Solanum lycopersicum: one gene and its partner. The protein of the gene in region 2 interacts with the protein of the main gene of each other region in a pairwise test. Links are inferred from orthologs where the notes say so. Each region holds a gene or a part of one and is shown on either strand. Other genes may lie near its edges.

Region 1 (8,515 bases), on a different chromosome or scaffold from region 2:
TCTTTTTGTATGGATTACTAAGGGACATAAGGTGAAATTAACAGAGTGTATAGAGTCAAGAAGTGAAGTTATTAATAGGAATGAAGGAGGATCATACCGATGGATATGGCCATTTAATATGTCTAAGCCACCAATCCACCAATTGTTGCCTTGCTTCCTTAGGCAGCTTGCCTTTCTTCCTCTTCTTCATGAACTCCTGCTTAAGGCTTCCCAAGTAACCGCTGTACTTACGCAACAATTGACCTTTGAGCTCTCTATCCTCAGCCTGGGGGTCGATGAAACTGTTATTCACGTCAACCTCTTCATCAGATGATCCATTTCTATCCATTGCCTCGCCCAAAGCTACACCTTTAAGACTTAAATTAGCATAACCATTCTCCAAGAAAAAAAGGAACAACTATAGTTGAGAATATAACTTGGCTTATAATAACATTATAGTAAAAATCACTAGCTACTAGGATACGAGATAAGCTTTGAGTATGAGTACTCAGCTGGTTCTCTTGGGACGTGATCAAAAGTTTGGCACGTTAGATTAGCCAACACTACAGGCTAACATAAATCATTTTGCTCTTAGGCATTTGGAAACTTCTCAGTAGTTTCTTACACAAGAAGAGTAACAAAAATATGCTAGAGTTAATACAATCAAAAACAACAAAGCGATTCATAACTCACACTAAATCTAGGCAGAGAATAAGAAGCTTATAAATTTTATGAGAAACTTAACTACCCCTATATACTTGAGAACTATCAAGAGTCGTTTGGTTGGGAACAAATTAGTATTCTGGGATAATTTATCCCACCATGGGTCTAATCACTATGGTGAATATAGTGAGATAAGTTATCCCAAGCATGACAACCAAAAAACAAAATTCTAATACCATCACTATTTTATTATCCCACGCTAATTATTTGTATCCTTCTCACCAAACGACCCGTTACTATTTACTACTTATCAAAAAATACACATGAGAGTAACTATCCATGTTGCAATTAAGTCCAAAAAAAGCCAATTTCTTCAGTTGTCTCGTAATTGCAAGCAGTTAAGCCCTCGCTTCTTTTAGACTCCTCAAGATTCAGTTTTTTAAATCAGTGGGTCCTTCAGAAACCCAACAGCTACTCAACAAATTTCGTCTTCTTTATCCCATTAAAGACTCCATTGAGTACCTATAGATTATTAACTTCACAAGTTTGCTATGTTTTGTCTATTATGTGAATAAAAAAGTCCAAGCAAAGAAACTTCCAAAGAAATTTAGCTGATTAAGGAAACACTTGTCAATAAGCATATGAACAAATATACAATTAGATCAAACTAAGCAAGCCGTATTCACCAAGATGAATCCTTTGAATTCCGAAATACATTCGACTAGATATTTGCACCCTAAAAAAAGGAAATAAACTCAAAAGAGTAATTAAAAAAAAAAGATGTATTGATGAAAAAACACCAACTACATAATCCAATGACTTAAACAAAAGTATAACACATCAAGTAGGTTATATGATACAATCCAATAAAAGCTCCAAATCTAATCAAGAGTATTTTATGGGTCTCACTAAAAGGAAGGTGCATTTCTCAATTTTGTCTTGTATCTTTCTATTCTTTTAAAGTGTCTAAAAGAGGGACCTCATGGAATTATGTCGAAAGATTGTAACTATTTGTGCGATACAGCTAATCGTTCAGCCGATCAAGGACTTCTTCACAGACCATATATGAAACTTAAGTGCTTGCTAAGATGGATTGGAGCTTTCCAAGTTAAACAAATACAGATTGAAATCCAAATACATACAAACTATTGCCATTAGATGGAAGTTCCTTTTTCAGTGTTTATTTAGCTTATACGGTGTAACATTTAAGCATTCGTAGTTATGAACCATTTCCAAGACAACCAACTAATTCAGCACATCTTTCCAAATACCTAATAGATTTAAAATCATCAAAAACACTACTACTTAGCAACAATAATAGTTATAGAGAGTGATTCCAGTAATATAAAGATTACTTGACGTTAATTTGTGGGGTTACCAATCAACACAATTAACGAGAGAAACATGGAATGAATAACCTTTTCCAAAACTCAAAAGTCTTATATTTTAAACAATCAAAGCATGAAACATAAACTCAACTAACTTTGAGAAACATAACACCCACACATAAATTGAATTCAAATGAAAGCTTATGTTGAAAAAGACTTGATCAAAAGAAAGATAATGTAATAATCTGCTCCTTACAACAACAAACTGGTGTATCCAACGTGCAAAATCACCTAAGACTGGTTGGTATATAGCTATCTCCGCCACCCCCTCCCTTTCTACCTCAGTATACTTACAAAAGACCCTCAACACAAGAGAATCAAAAAATTTACTTCATAGAGTGTCAGAAGTAAAACCAAAGTAATATAATTTTGAAATTCATATTCACCATCATAATATATGCAGCTTCAATACAGAAAACTAGGGTTAATACATTATTATATCTTGAGCTAGTCATCAATTAATCTGTGATTGGCACATGATAGAACAAACAAAACCTGCACATGAATAGTAGGGGAAAAAAGCTGGAACAAGAAAGACATATTTCCCAGGGTCATTCCAAATAAAGAACAAGACAAGTTGAGTTTATTCAGCATACACAAGCATCCAGTTTGAAATGATTAACAAGGGACAAATATATCTTGCTGTTTACACTTACAACTAGCACCACACAAATATTATGAACATGTAGAACAAGAACCAAAATAAGATAATTATTCTTTTTCTTTAATATAAATTCCAGGTAGTATCCCTGGCAGATGTATTTCATTGAATATTGAGACAGAAACAAAACTATTTTAAAAAATCATTGTGAAATACAAGAAGGTAGAGTAAATTGATAAAAAATTGAAAATAAATGGTCTGCATATGGAATTGAGCTTATTTTATTAGTACATAATAATTAATTAATGACTGATATCATTGGAAACATGCACATGCAGAGGACATTAATTTATAAAAGAATAAACTCAAGTAAACAGTTAGGATCTGAAAAGAATAAATGTCACCATTTTAAGAAATGAAGAAAAAAAATTTGATATATATATATCTCACCAGATTCATGAGAAGAATTAGGTGCAAGAGTTAAAGCTTTGAACTGACACTCAATTCTTGAAAGAAAAACCATGGCTTCCTTGAAGGGTTTTGAGAGTTCTTGTTCATATTTTGTCAGCATCTCACAATAAGCCTCCATGAACTGATCTAGTGCAGGATCTTCTCCAATGATTCCACCACCACTACTACTACTGCTACGGCCCATTGTTGCTGACGTGGCACATATTTCCTCTAGCCTTGCCACCACTTCTGGCGGAGCTCCTATCTGCAGTTGTTAAAAAGAAGAAAAAAAAACTAGGTTTTTTCAGCTACTGTCCCTTTCACACACATGATTTTGTTTTCAGGGTTTTTTATTGAATTGTTGCAGAGAGTCACTTTCAAGGTAGAAAAAATCATCAAAATTTCAAGAAATACTAAAACCCATGTTAAAAAATATAATCTTTGAATTGTTGAAAAAAAAATGAATTTTTTTTTGTTGGTGTTAATTGGGGGGGGGGTGAATTTCACCTTTTGACAATTGAGATAAGCAGTCAAGAGACGATGGTAGTGAGGATGAGCCATAATCTTTGACTTGATGGAAGAAGAAGAAGAGTTGTTGTCTTCTTGAGGATTATTGTTGTTGTTGTCCATGAAAGGAAGAAAAAGGATGTTGTTGCTGCTTGTTTCTGCATTGTTATTGTTAGTTAAAGAAGGAGGAGGAGGAGGCATCATCATCATCATTGGAGGAGCACAAATTGTTACATTTCCATTTCCATTTCCATTACCATTTCCATTGTTGTTGTTGTTGTTCTCATGATCTCCATATCCCATCATCATTAAACAAGATGTACTAGTATTTCCACTAGAACCACCCTCCATTATTCTCTCACACACTTTCTTCTTCACTCTAAATTTTGTTCCTTTCTATTTGTTTTTGCCTATGAAAACCATCTCTCTCTCTCACACACACTGAGAAAAAAAAAAGAAATGGAAAAAAACCTCTGTTTAACAGTAAATCTCTCTTCTCTTTTTTACGAGGGTGTGTGTGTGTAAGTGATCTCCCGAGTTTTATGCTTACTGATATCAGGCTTTTTCACAGCAAATCCTTAATGGAATACATAGTTAGCAATACTACTAGTCAGAAAAAAAAGCAAACACACAATATTCCTTTTTTCTTTTTCTAAAAAATAATTAGTAAAAAACAGTGTATTGTTCACTTTTCTTTTCTTTTTTTTTTCTCTCTATAGTGTTGTAGCAAGAAGCAAAGACTATGAAAAACATGAACATGTTAAAGGGTTAGCTTGTATTTGGGTGCAAAATTTTTACCTTCCCAATGAAAACTCATACCCCTTTTTTCTTCACTGCCACTGAAACACTGTCATTATCTGCCAATATCCCTCCTCTCCTAGTGAGAGAGAGATATACAGTTTAATTTTTATTTTTAGATTAGAATGATCAAATCGAGGTGCAGTGTAATTTCTTCTGTGTTTTTATGTGTTTCTTGGTTTTTGGGTTATTGGAAAACAGACAAGAGTGAGAGTTCCTTACCAATATTATAACTTGAGACCTATTTGTCCCTTAATTGAATATGATTCTTTTTGCTTTGCTTCTTCTTTCAACCACTAAATTAAACTTTATATCATTATTTTATATTAAAAATTAGATTAGCGTACACATTATATTATACTAGTAGTAAATTAACAAAAATACTACTTTTCAAGAATAAAACGTGAAGAAAACTTATCTTTTTTAGAGGGAGAGGGGAAAAAAATAGACGCACAACAAAGGTGTGAATTGTGATGTGAGTGGATATAGCAGTAGAAAATCTTGAGATTCACATCTTTAAGAGACTAAGCTCTATGGTAGGTCTGACCAAAATCGATCGGTAAGTAAATAGTTAAAAGATCAAATATATTAATATTTTGAGCAATTAGAAAGATTAAATCCTATAAATGAATAGTTAAGAAACTATTTAAACCCTACTCGAATAGTTAAGAAACCGTCAATGACATTTTCTCTAGATTTTGGAGGAAGAATTTTTAAAGAAATTACAAATTGTTTTTTGTTCATAAACTTTAATCAATTTTTGACAATTTACATAAATTTGGATGAAATTTCATTTCACTTATCCTATGTATTGTTTTAAATCCTACAAAAATATTTCACACACCATTCAAACTTCAAAAACTGATATTTTCAAATTTCCATCTTAATTTTATAAGCACTTTCAAAATAAATTACTTAGATTGCTAATCACCTAAAAAACATTAAAATCAGACAAAATCATAAGTTGGTCATGTTTAATGTATAAATTTTCATTTATAAATATTTTAAATTTGATAAAATATATTTTAATCAATTTGGAATAGATTAATTTCTTGACTTTTTATTTGCATCTTCGAGAAACTTTTATCCCAATTTTTTTTTTCTAATTTTCAAAATACTCTTTCCAAATTGTGATGCTAAATCTCTTCCATTCCATATATCTTCTGTCGTAATCTTTTGTGTATATGTTTTTTAGTATTTATAATTTTTTAAGTAATAATTTTAAGGATATTTTAATTATTTTAAGGGAAAATTTAATAGTTTTCTTTTTTTTAAAAAAAAAGTTCAGGTTAAAATTCTTGAATAAATGAAAAGGAAAAAAAAATCTAACGAGTTGTTTAGAATAAAAATATTTGAAGAAAGATTTACCCTATTGGGATAGGGAACTATTTATAACTTTATTGTCTTTTTCTTGTTCTAGTTATACATGAAAAATGAAATAAGAAATGATATTTGATGTATTTCATACTCCGATAGACAAATATATAATTTAGTTTCCTATTATTGACAAACAACACACTTCATTCACAGATATTCTGTTCATTTTATTTATATATATTTTTGGTGCCTTCAGTGCCATTATTATCTTATGGCATTTTCTTGGTTTGTGTAGATTACTATAACCCCCACCTATTTCCATTTCAATGAAAAAAATGTAACTTGGACACTTTGCCTCGCATTGTTTTTACTCACTTTAATGGAAAATGCTACGTACCCCACCCCAAAAGAATCTTCAACCCAATCTACATAACTAGTATTTAGTTTTTGAGGTCTTTAATTGAGGTTAAATAGAAAAATAATTATTTGTATCGAATATTTTCGTCTAATTATCACAATTTTCATTTGTAACTTCATGAAGTAAAATGAAAAATAAATTTTAACACATGACATGACATGCATATATTGAATTGATGTATAAACATCTTATGCGGATAAGTTTTATCCACACTAAATAGCTAGAACTTTTTGTCAGAATCTGATTTAGAAATTTAAAAAGTTATAAATATTTTTTATTTTAAAATTAACTAACTTTTTTCTATTTTTTATTAAAAATTATTAAAGTCAATGAACGAAAATATTTAAGAAGATAAATAACATACTTAAGATATTATTCGGGACAAATTTTCTAGGGAAGAGAATTTTTCCTTTAATTTAATACCCTATTCTGTACATTCAAAATTATTGGTAGTAAATAATAAATTTTATTGAGATATTCAAATTACAATTTATTCAAGGAGTATTTAAATACTTGATAAACTCTTTATACTAAATATATTTAATTTTCAACGAATTTTTAAGTGTTCATTACATATACAAATTAATCATTTTAAGTATGTCTTCTCATTTAGGACTCATTTGGCTATAGATTTCTCAAATAATATTTTGGGAAAAATTTGATAAATAATTTTATTTACAATTTGTCATTATTTAACAAATATTTCAAATTCTTAAATACTATTTTTTTCTAGTATTTGGACCAAATCTCATTATTTTGGGATCTTCTTAAAATTAAAATTTTACTCCAAACTTTTATCTTTAACAAAAACACCCTTTTATAGTAGTTGTTTGTGTTGTATTAAATAATTTTTTACGTAAACACCAAAGTAGTGATGCAATATTCAGTGAACATTAAATGATTATATGGTTGTTGATGAAAAATTGTTTCATGACTTATGGAATGATGTTTGTTGCATTCCCTCCAAACTATCACATTGCTCTAGTGTCATGGGCATTATTTGTTATTGTTGCAACGAATATCCAATTGACTTGTAATACAAACTTATAGTTAGTTTTGATAATTTTTAAAACTTATGGGTATAAAACATATTTTTCTAAAAATGTGAAATATATTTCCCAGATATTATGGTCAAACGCTAGCTTACTAATCTGTAAAATCTCATGCTTATACTTTGATTAATGCGCGTTTATAAAGACACCTAAATTTTAATTAAAATATGAGTTGAATATAACTATATATATATATATATATATATATATATAATTTTTAAAAATGGAAACTTTCGCATATAGCTACTGAAAAATAGTTTAATTATGCTCCACAACTATAAATTAATTAATTACAATTTCAGTTACATGTTATAGGAAGAAGAGTGGCTAGCGAGACTAAGGAGAGAGGCAAGCGAGATTGGGAGAAGGAGGAGAAAGACAAGCGTGAGAGAACAATAATTTGTATAATTCGCATCTGGTTTTTGTAATTTGCAGGTATGTTTGGATATATTGTATGTTTTTGTATAATTGAGTAATATAAAATCTGTAGTTATACAAATATAATAAAACTTGAAATAATGATTTGATACAAACAAAACACATATGAACTTTATACAATTATACAAAATATACTATACAAATGACATTATGTAGATCATATTATACAAAATTTGAAAACTACGTTTATAGAAATTTTAAAAAGTTATACACAAAAAGATTCAATGTATATGATGACAAAACTAAAAAATCAAATGAAATTATCGTCATATACAAATACAAATCATAACATACAAATACAAATCAAACAAAAAATTATTAATATCAAATTATACATATACGAACTCAAATTTAGCCTATACGATATAATATAATCAAATAATATAAGTTTATTTAACCGCGTAATTTTCATTGAAAAAATGACTTTATACTTACTATACAATCTTTTTGTGAAAAATGAAATAAACCTCCTCCCGACCCCTAAATCTGCCCCCGTCTATTTTCATCGCCAAGTGTTGAATCAATTGATATATTATTCTGGTAAATTGCTGACCAAAAAATAAAGTGAAGTACATCAAGTGAGACAGAATAACGAAACACTATTGAATTGAAGAATAATTTGTATCGAAATATAAAATAGAAAAGCACGAGTTGTCTCCAATTAAATTTACAAGTAAATGAAAAGGTGTCATCAGTCTTTCATCTATCCCATCTAAAGTCTCTAATTATTTCCTCTAAGAAAATTAAAGTGCAGTTCTAGCTTCAAAAAGCTGTTTATTTCGTGGGACACTACCAATGTCTCTTCTAACTTCTATTCCTCTCTCTAATTATTTTCTTTTCTACTACTCAATCACTCATCAACATTACTAATTAGCTTCTAATTAAGTTGGTACAGTTATTTGGA
Region 2 (7,463 bases):
ACATTTCTGTAATCTGCAACACAGAATTACCTATGTCCACATGCATGTTGCATAATAAAGACTAATTTGAGTGTTTGTTTCCTATGCTTCGGAAGCACTTCCTCATTCCAAGGAGGTGAGACCACTAGAGTAACAACTTGTTATGTTAAGGGTGTCTCATTTCGTGTATCATTTTATTTGTGTATATATATATGGTACGCCAATATGAGTAAAGTTGCGTACACATCACCCAACCAAACTCACAGTTGTAGGATGTGTTGTTCCTGCTTCCATTCTCAATGGACTATGAAGCATCTAATATCTTGTCACTACTTTCTACTAGGAGTTTGCCTTGTGGATACAAAAAGTTTAAGAAATAATTCTACTTCAAATGGAGCTATACTAACTGCCTTAGTTTTTTTACAATTTTCAGTTGTAATTCTTGTTTAACATCAATCCATTACTTTGCCAAATGAAATATCCACTTTTATCTTACTTAAGAGAAATGCACTCATATTTTTATAATATTAACAATAATATTTTTATAATGGCTCTTCTAACGCTCTAAAGCTACTATTTACTTTTACAGCCCTTAAAAAGGAAAAAAGAAAAAAGACAATAATTATTAAGATACTGCACCAAATGGTGTACAGAAACAAATGATTACAAAGCATCTCAATTATATTCTCATCCATAAGATGTATACTTCGCATATGTGAATTTGTTTAATTGGATTAAAAATGTTTTTAAAAAGTTATTACTTCGTTCGTTTAACAAAGAATGTCTCTATTTTCTTTTTAATTTGTTTTTTTTTTAAAAAATGATTCTTTTTTTTTGGCAACATTTTAATTTTAAGTTTCCACGTGGCATGTTTAAGATCACAAGATTAAAACATTTAATATAACTTTAATTTAGAATCACAAGATTAAAAGTTTCTTTCTTTTCTTAAACTCTGTTTCAAATTAAATTAGGTTATTTTTTTTTAAATAAATAAATTATAAAAATTTATATGATTATAAGTCATTTTAATATATGTAAAAATGAAAATTTATAATCAATTTATTTATAAAATAAATTAAAAGAGAACAGTAATATCGAAACGAAAAGCAAAGAAAGCAATCGATAATTATATGTTTCAATTATTTTAAGGAAAAATAATGAGAAAATTAAAGGCCCACCCCACCCACTAGAAAAAGTTAAAATGGGGAATTAAAAAAACTTTTAAGTACTGCTCCCTTTATAAAAGATTCCCAAATTTCTTTAGGAAGAAGACATTTTATTTAGTGACACAGAACTTATTAGTTAAAAAAGAAAGGTAAAAAAAGAGAGAGGACAGATTGAAATGATTGTTCAATGGAAAGCTGCTCAAAAAAAGAAAAACATGCAACCAAAACAAACAAAGATAGCTCATGCATAAAGCAACCTCCATCATTGAGCCAAGAAGCAAAAAATGACAAACCGAGGAGCTAGATACGCGGTCTTTCAGATTATTTCGCCTTTAAAAAAAAATAAAAAGAAATAGCATAACTTGTAGTCACTTTCTTAGTAATTAGTTCGAGTGGATGAAAAAGAAATAATGAATTTCAGAATATCTAAATTTGTTTTCCTTAGCTAATTTCATTAGAAAAGTTGTTTTTCCTCTTCATTTAAGGGAATTGTTTTGCTATAGATTAAAAAAATATTTTCTATAACACAAAACATAAAAATTGAAAAATATTTTAAACAAACACACCCATATAAATACATTTTTCTTTTTCTTGTTTCCCAAAATAACAATGTGTTGTTTGAATCACATAATCAACTTTATAAATACATCTTCTTTTTCTTTAGTTAGCTATATATGTTGTTTGGGACTCTTAATATCAAATGCATGAATATGTTAGCATATATACACACAATATGCCCAAAAAAACTAGACATGATAATTTTAAATCATTCGATTCGAGCCAAAATAAATTAAATCTACTATAATATCCATATAAAATGATATAAATATATTTTATGTTATACTTTTTTCAGTCAAAGATCTTCCTTATGATTATCCTCGAAAGAACTTTATTCAAATAAAAATAAGCATAAATCTTCCATTCTACTAAAGAATATATATATATATACTAAGTTAAATAATGTAAACAATTTTTACTAGCAAAACAAAGACACATGAAATTGAAATGTATCTTCTAAAATCAAGAACCTTGTGATCAACCTCCAATTTAATTTACACCTCATAACTGTTTGGACGAAACAACAGAGCAAGTATTAATAGCATACAACAAAATATAACCTTTCGAATATATCCAAAAATAACGATGTCACACTAGACGTCCTGCTTTGTTCATTCAACCAGCAAAATCATGCAAGAATTGCCCACCAACCATACTATTATTTCTTCCAAATTGTCCATTTTGTTCATCAAATCCACCAAAAATAACCCTTCCACTACTCGTACTACTATCGATACCAAAACGTCTAGCTGCATTCATCGGAAATGGCTCCGATAAACCAATATTACCGGAGTTCTGATGAAGCCCTAACGTTAACGATACACCACCACCAACTCCAGTTGACAAATTTCCATAGGATAAATTTATTGAATCCGCGATTCTTCCAATATTATTGGGAATATTTGTTAACTCATTTCGAGTTCGTTTAGATGGAAGGTCTTGTAATCTTGATGTTGATGTAGATGGTGTATTACTTTCACATGCATTTGAATTACTCATAGGAAAATGTTCAATTGGATTATTACTATCGTTGTTGTTGTTGTTGTTAGGTCCTTCTCTATGTGAAGAAGATTTATTATGACCTTCTCGAGTTTCAAGCATGTGAATCTCTTCTACCATAGGTTTCCAAAGTCTTACTCTCGCGTTGATGAACCAATTAGAAACCTAAGCATATGTGTTATCATATTATTAATTCGATAAAAATTATAACTAACATGTTATAACACGTTAAAACTATATTAATTAGTGTAAAAATATGTTTGAAAATGTACAAACCTGATTTCTTGAGAGTCCAGTTTGTTTGGCTAACATAACTTTATCAGTGTCCGTGGGGTAACTGCAATAAAATCAAGTAATATGATTTTAATACTGTTAAATCATCTAAAAGATATAATTGCAAATGAACTTTATATGATAAGTAAAATTAGCTAATAAGATATTATAACGGTAAATTATAGTCCAAAATGTGTGCCAGTATCTGTCCATGTAAGTTAAATCTTCTTTTGAATAGAGCAGTGATACTTTTTCCGTTTTAATTGATACGTTCTAGTAATTCTTGAATTTTATGTTTTTAAACTAAAATATATATTTATGAATATACTCTTTTCATCTCAAATCATTTCTCGAGAGTCAAACTATGTAAAACTTTGACCAATGTTTTAAAACACAGTTTTTCATCAAATTGCAATGAAAATTGCAACTCGTAATATTTTTCATATAGTTTTTAAAAATTTATATTTTAATTGTAATAGATGAAGTTGATCTAATCAAATTCAACTTTGAAGATTAGTCAAGTTAACTATCCATGAAGTGAAACACGACAACTGATTTGGGACAGAGTGAGTACCAAAATGTTTTTGTGTAGTCTTAGAGTGTGTTTAGTATGAAGGAAAACATTTTCTGAAAAATTATTTTCAATTTCAAATTTTTATTTTTATACTCCTACACCCCACCCGGTTGGCCCCCGTACCCACCCCCTACCAGCCCCCACCTACCCCCAACCCCTCAAAAAGTTAATTTTATTCATAAATTAAACACACAGAAAATATTTTCTACTCATCAACCAAACATGATAAAATAAGTCCAAAATCTACTTGTTTTTTAGAAAAACATTTTCTAGGAAAACGTTTTCCATGGAAAACATTTTTCTTCGTACCAAACACACCCTTAAACATATCAAGTTAACCGTATTAGAGTTAAAAAAGTAACTATATATAAATAATTTGATTAAATAAAAGAAAGTAAGACACATAAATTGATACTTACGGGTGAAGAAAATGGTCAAACAACCAAGCCCTAAGTACAGTGACAGCACGTTCAGGAAGCCCTCTTTGTGGTCTCCAAACAGGTTGAGTTTCTTGTCTTTGGCAATAAATTCCTTTGCCAGAAATTCCAACTCCTCTTTCACAATTAATTTGACCATGTGAAGATTTTCTTGTTGTAAATTGAAGTTGGTCAATTATGGCATCTTTAAGGCATTTGAAGTGTTTTGACATAGTTTTTATAGCTACGTTTGCAAATGGTGCTGCATTTCCAAGTCCAGCAACTGATTCAAATGATGCCACAACCATTTGTAGTTGCTCATGATATTGCTTGTACTTATGGTATACCTGCAAAATAACCACAACTCGTCGTTAAAGATTTTAGCAACTCTGAACACATTGATATCAATTCAATTGCTGCTAGAAGGAAAATTTGTTGTTATCGAATGTCCCTTTTGTTGTAGTGAACATAATTAAGTAAATATGTGTTGAATGTGAGTCATCAATATGAGATAGCCGGTTGATTTGTCAAATCATCGTTTAACTACTAGTTGTTATTATAGAAAATTATATTTACGTTCTAATTTTAGTTGTGCATAAATAAACACTGATATACTTATACAAAATTGAACACAAGTAAGTTACATATCGCACGAGACACTCAAATTGAAAAAATATTATAATAGAATCTTGAATCCATACGTTTCGATATGAAAGTAACTAGATTTATTAGAAGGAATTCTAACCTTTATACATAAACAACAATTACCACTTCAGTATAATCCAACCAAGTAAGATTTGAGAAAAAAAGTGTACGTAATCATAACTTTATGTAGAATATAGAAAAATTATTTTTGACAAAGTCTTAACTCAAAAAACAAACAATCCAATATAAAATTACCTTTTATACGATAAAAATATAAAATTAAATTAGACTACTACATACAAGTTCAAAAAACTATCAATAAATACAAAAGAAGTTTCAATTTAAATTTTTTATTGCTGCACAAATATCTTATATCATACTTAAGCGCACTAATTCTAAAATTTATATTTTTCGTTTAAGGTTAATTAAATTATATCACACGCTAAAAAAAGAAAAGAGGAGTATTTAGAATTTTCTTATCTATAATTGAGTAGGACACTTTAATTAAGGCACCAATTTTTGTGCATATATTCCCTAAATCACCTTTTCCCAAAAAGAAAAATTAGTGATTTATAAGAACCTGTACGCCTATATCACATAGGCATCTAGCCTGTGTAGCCTTTAATTCAATAATAAATTACACTATAAAATATCATTTAGTATATCTAATATAGGTAACAAATATTTTTTTATTACTACCATTTTAACTAAAAAAAGATTTATCACAAAATAATTACTCCCTACCTTTCTTTTTACTTATTCTTCTAAACGTTGTACCCTCCCTCGAAAATTACGATGGAGGATATTATTAAATAAATAAAAAGTGTTCTTTTTAATAATTTAAATTTTTAGGTAAGATAATCATACACTTTAACATGATATCAGAGCAGAATTGTACTTGACTATTAATTTTGACAATAGCCTACAAGAATGAATGATGTTTAAGGGAAATCAATTAACTCGTTTATTAAGTAAAAATATTTTAATAAATTATATTTTATTTTTTTGTAATTTTTTAATGAGCATGAAAAAAGTAAAAGCAATATTTGGAAGTAATATTAAAATGCTAAAAAGCTTCTAAATACCCAAAAAAATCTCATAGTGCATATTTGTACGGACATTAACGATAACTCATCACTTTAAAGAATCTCTTCTTTTTTTTTTTTTTTTAATTTTAACATATAGTATATGCTAGAAAAAGAAAAGCATTGGAGTTTTCATAGACAACAGCTGGATAAGAATCATAAGAAAAAAAGTGTAAAAAGTTAGGCAGTTGGATAATATATTTGGTTTGAATTTAAAAATTACTAATAAAATATAGTTTTATTAGTAAAATTAAAATTAAAAAATATATATAACTACTTTTTTTTTGAAATATTTTACTCAAAAAAATTTCAAATTATGATGGCTATACTTTTAAAACTTACCAAAAAGACTTGAGTAATTGCAAGCAAAGTCAATGGAGAAAAATATATGGTTCTATAATTAATGCAGAAACAAGCTAACTCTGAACTCCCCTCCCTACCACACATTCAATAAAAATTAAACTTTTTCCACAAAGAGAAAAAAATAAATCAAGCTAAGAAGAAAAATGTGAACATTAAAATTGAATAATCGGGTGCATAAATCATTCCGCATTCACAAATAGTTTAAAAGAAGAGTCGCACACTAGACACTACACCGGAGATCTATTATAAGAAAGTTGTGAATTACATTAAAATTCGTACGAAAATTTATAAAAAAATAAATTTCTTATAAATTTCAAAATACCTTTATTATATAATTAACACTTTTTTTTGTAACGTGAAATATATACCATTTATCCTAATTCAAATACAAATGTCTCTATTCACAACTAAAACACATAATTTATATGTTTCACAAAAAACAACTTTATCAATACTCAAAGTTTTACTTTTGATGTTATTAGCAATATCCTCCTAATTCAATTTGGTTTGACAAAAATATCATCATCAAACGCGAAGTCTCAAAGTTTGAATCTTGAAAATGAAAAAACATAAAATTCTATTAGTTGAATCTCAAAGCGAATATCAAATATCGAATTAGAAAAACAAGAATGTAGAAATACCAAAATTAAGAACCCTCATGACTATATGTATAAAAAGGAAAAATAATTAATAAAAGGTGTACCTCATCAAGCATTGAAATTAACCTTGATTTCTTTTTCCCAAATTGTTCCTCTCCATTAGTAAAACCTTGTGGAGTATCCATCATCAAATTAGAAGCATCATCATTACTATCATCAACATAAATCCCTTTAGTAACATGACACAATTCATCCAACAAAATCTGTGCTGGTTTCAAAAACTTTGATCTCTTTAAAATTGAAGAGTACCCCGTAAAAGGTCCAAGTGGTACACAACTAGTAGTCGTAGTAATACTCTTAGACGAAGACAAGTCATTATTATGAAGAGATGACAAAGACAAAGATAAATTACCTTGACCATTGCTATTACTATTACTATTAGTATTAGTATTATTATGATCAAGAAATCTTGGAATTTGAGATGTATATAGAAAAGGGTTACCATTAATTTCTTGAAAAATTGATAAATCTGAAGATAAAACAATAGATGGATCATAAAGAGGGGGGATTTGACAATTACTATTATTATTTTCATCAAGTAAAACTCTAAGCTTATCTCTTCTACTTTGTTGTGGGACATGATAAGGTTCAAATCCTTCAGCCATTTAATTTTTTTTTTAAGAAAAAAAATAAACAAGGCAAGAGAAAGATAAACAAGACTCTTTATTTAAAAAAAATAAAATAAGAAAGGAAGATGAAATGAAATGAAAGATGTGAAAATGAATAATAGTAGTGAAGAGATGTGG

What was found. The genes of interacting proteins can lie anywhere in the genome.
Region 1: the proteins of BEL1-like homeodomain protein 9 (region 2) and T6 interact in binary tests that used the Arabidopsis thaliana proteins (3 or more experiments, as listed by UniProt). The link is inferred for Solanum lycopersicum from reciprocal best matches to the Arabidopsis thaliana genes RPL and STM.

The regions. Positions count from the first base shown.
Region 1 is NC_090801.1:61,367,909-61,376,423, reverse strand, and holds the start of T6 (homeobox protein knotted-1-like LET6), read right to left. Parts: upstream 4,239-8,515; 5' UTR 3,940-4,238; coding exon 3,589-3,939; intron 3,347-3,588; coding exon 3,082-3,346; intron 349-3,081; coding exon of another isoform or gene 343-348; coding exon 98-342; intron 1-97. UniProt on the Arabidopsis thaliana protein: Required for shoot apical meristem (SAM) formation during embryogenesis. Negatively regulates ASYMMETRIC LEAVES1 (AS1) and ASYMMETRIC LEAVES2 (AS2 or LBD6). Probably binds to the DNA sequence 5'-TGAC-3'. Binds to RNA.
Region 2 is NC_090808.1:5,208,781-5,216,243, forward strand, and holds the end of BEL1-like homeodomain protein 9, read right to left. Parts: 5' UTR 7,323-7,463; coding exon 6,762-7,322; intron 4,313-6,761; coding exon 3,969-4,312; intron 3,040-3,968; coding exon 2,979-3,039; intron 2,868-2,978; coding exon 2,319-2,867; 3' UTR 2,067-2,318; downstream 1-2,066.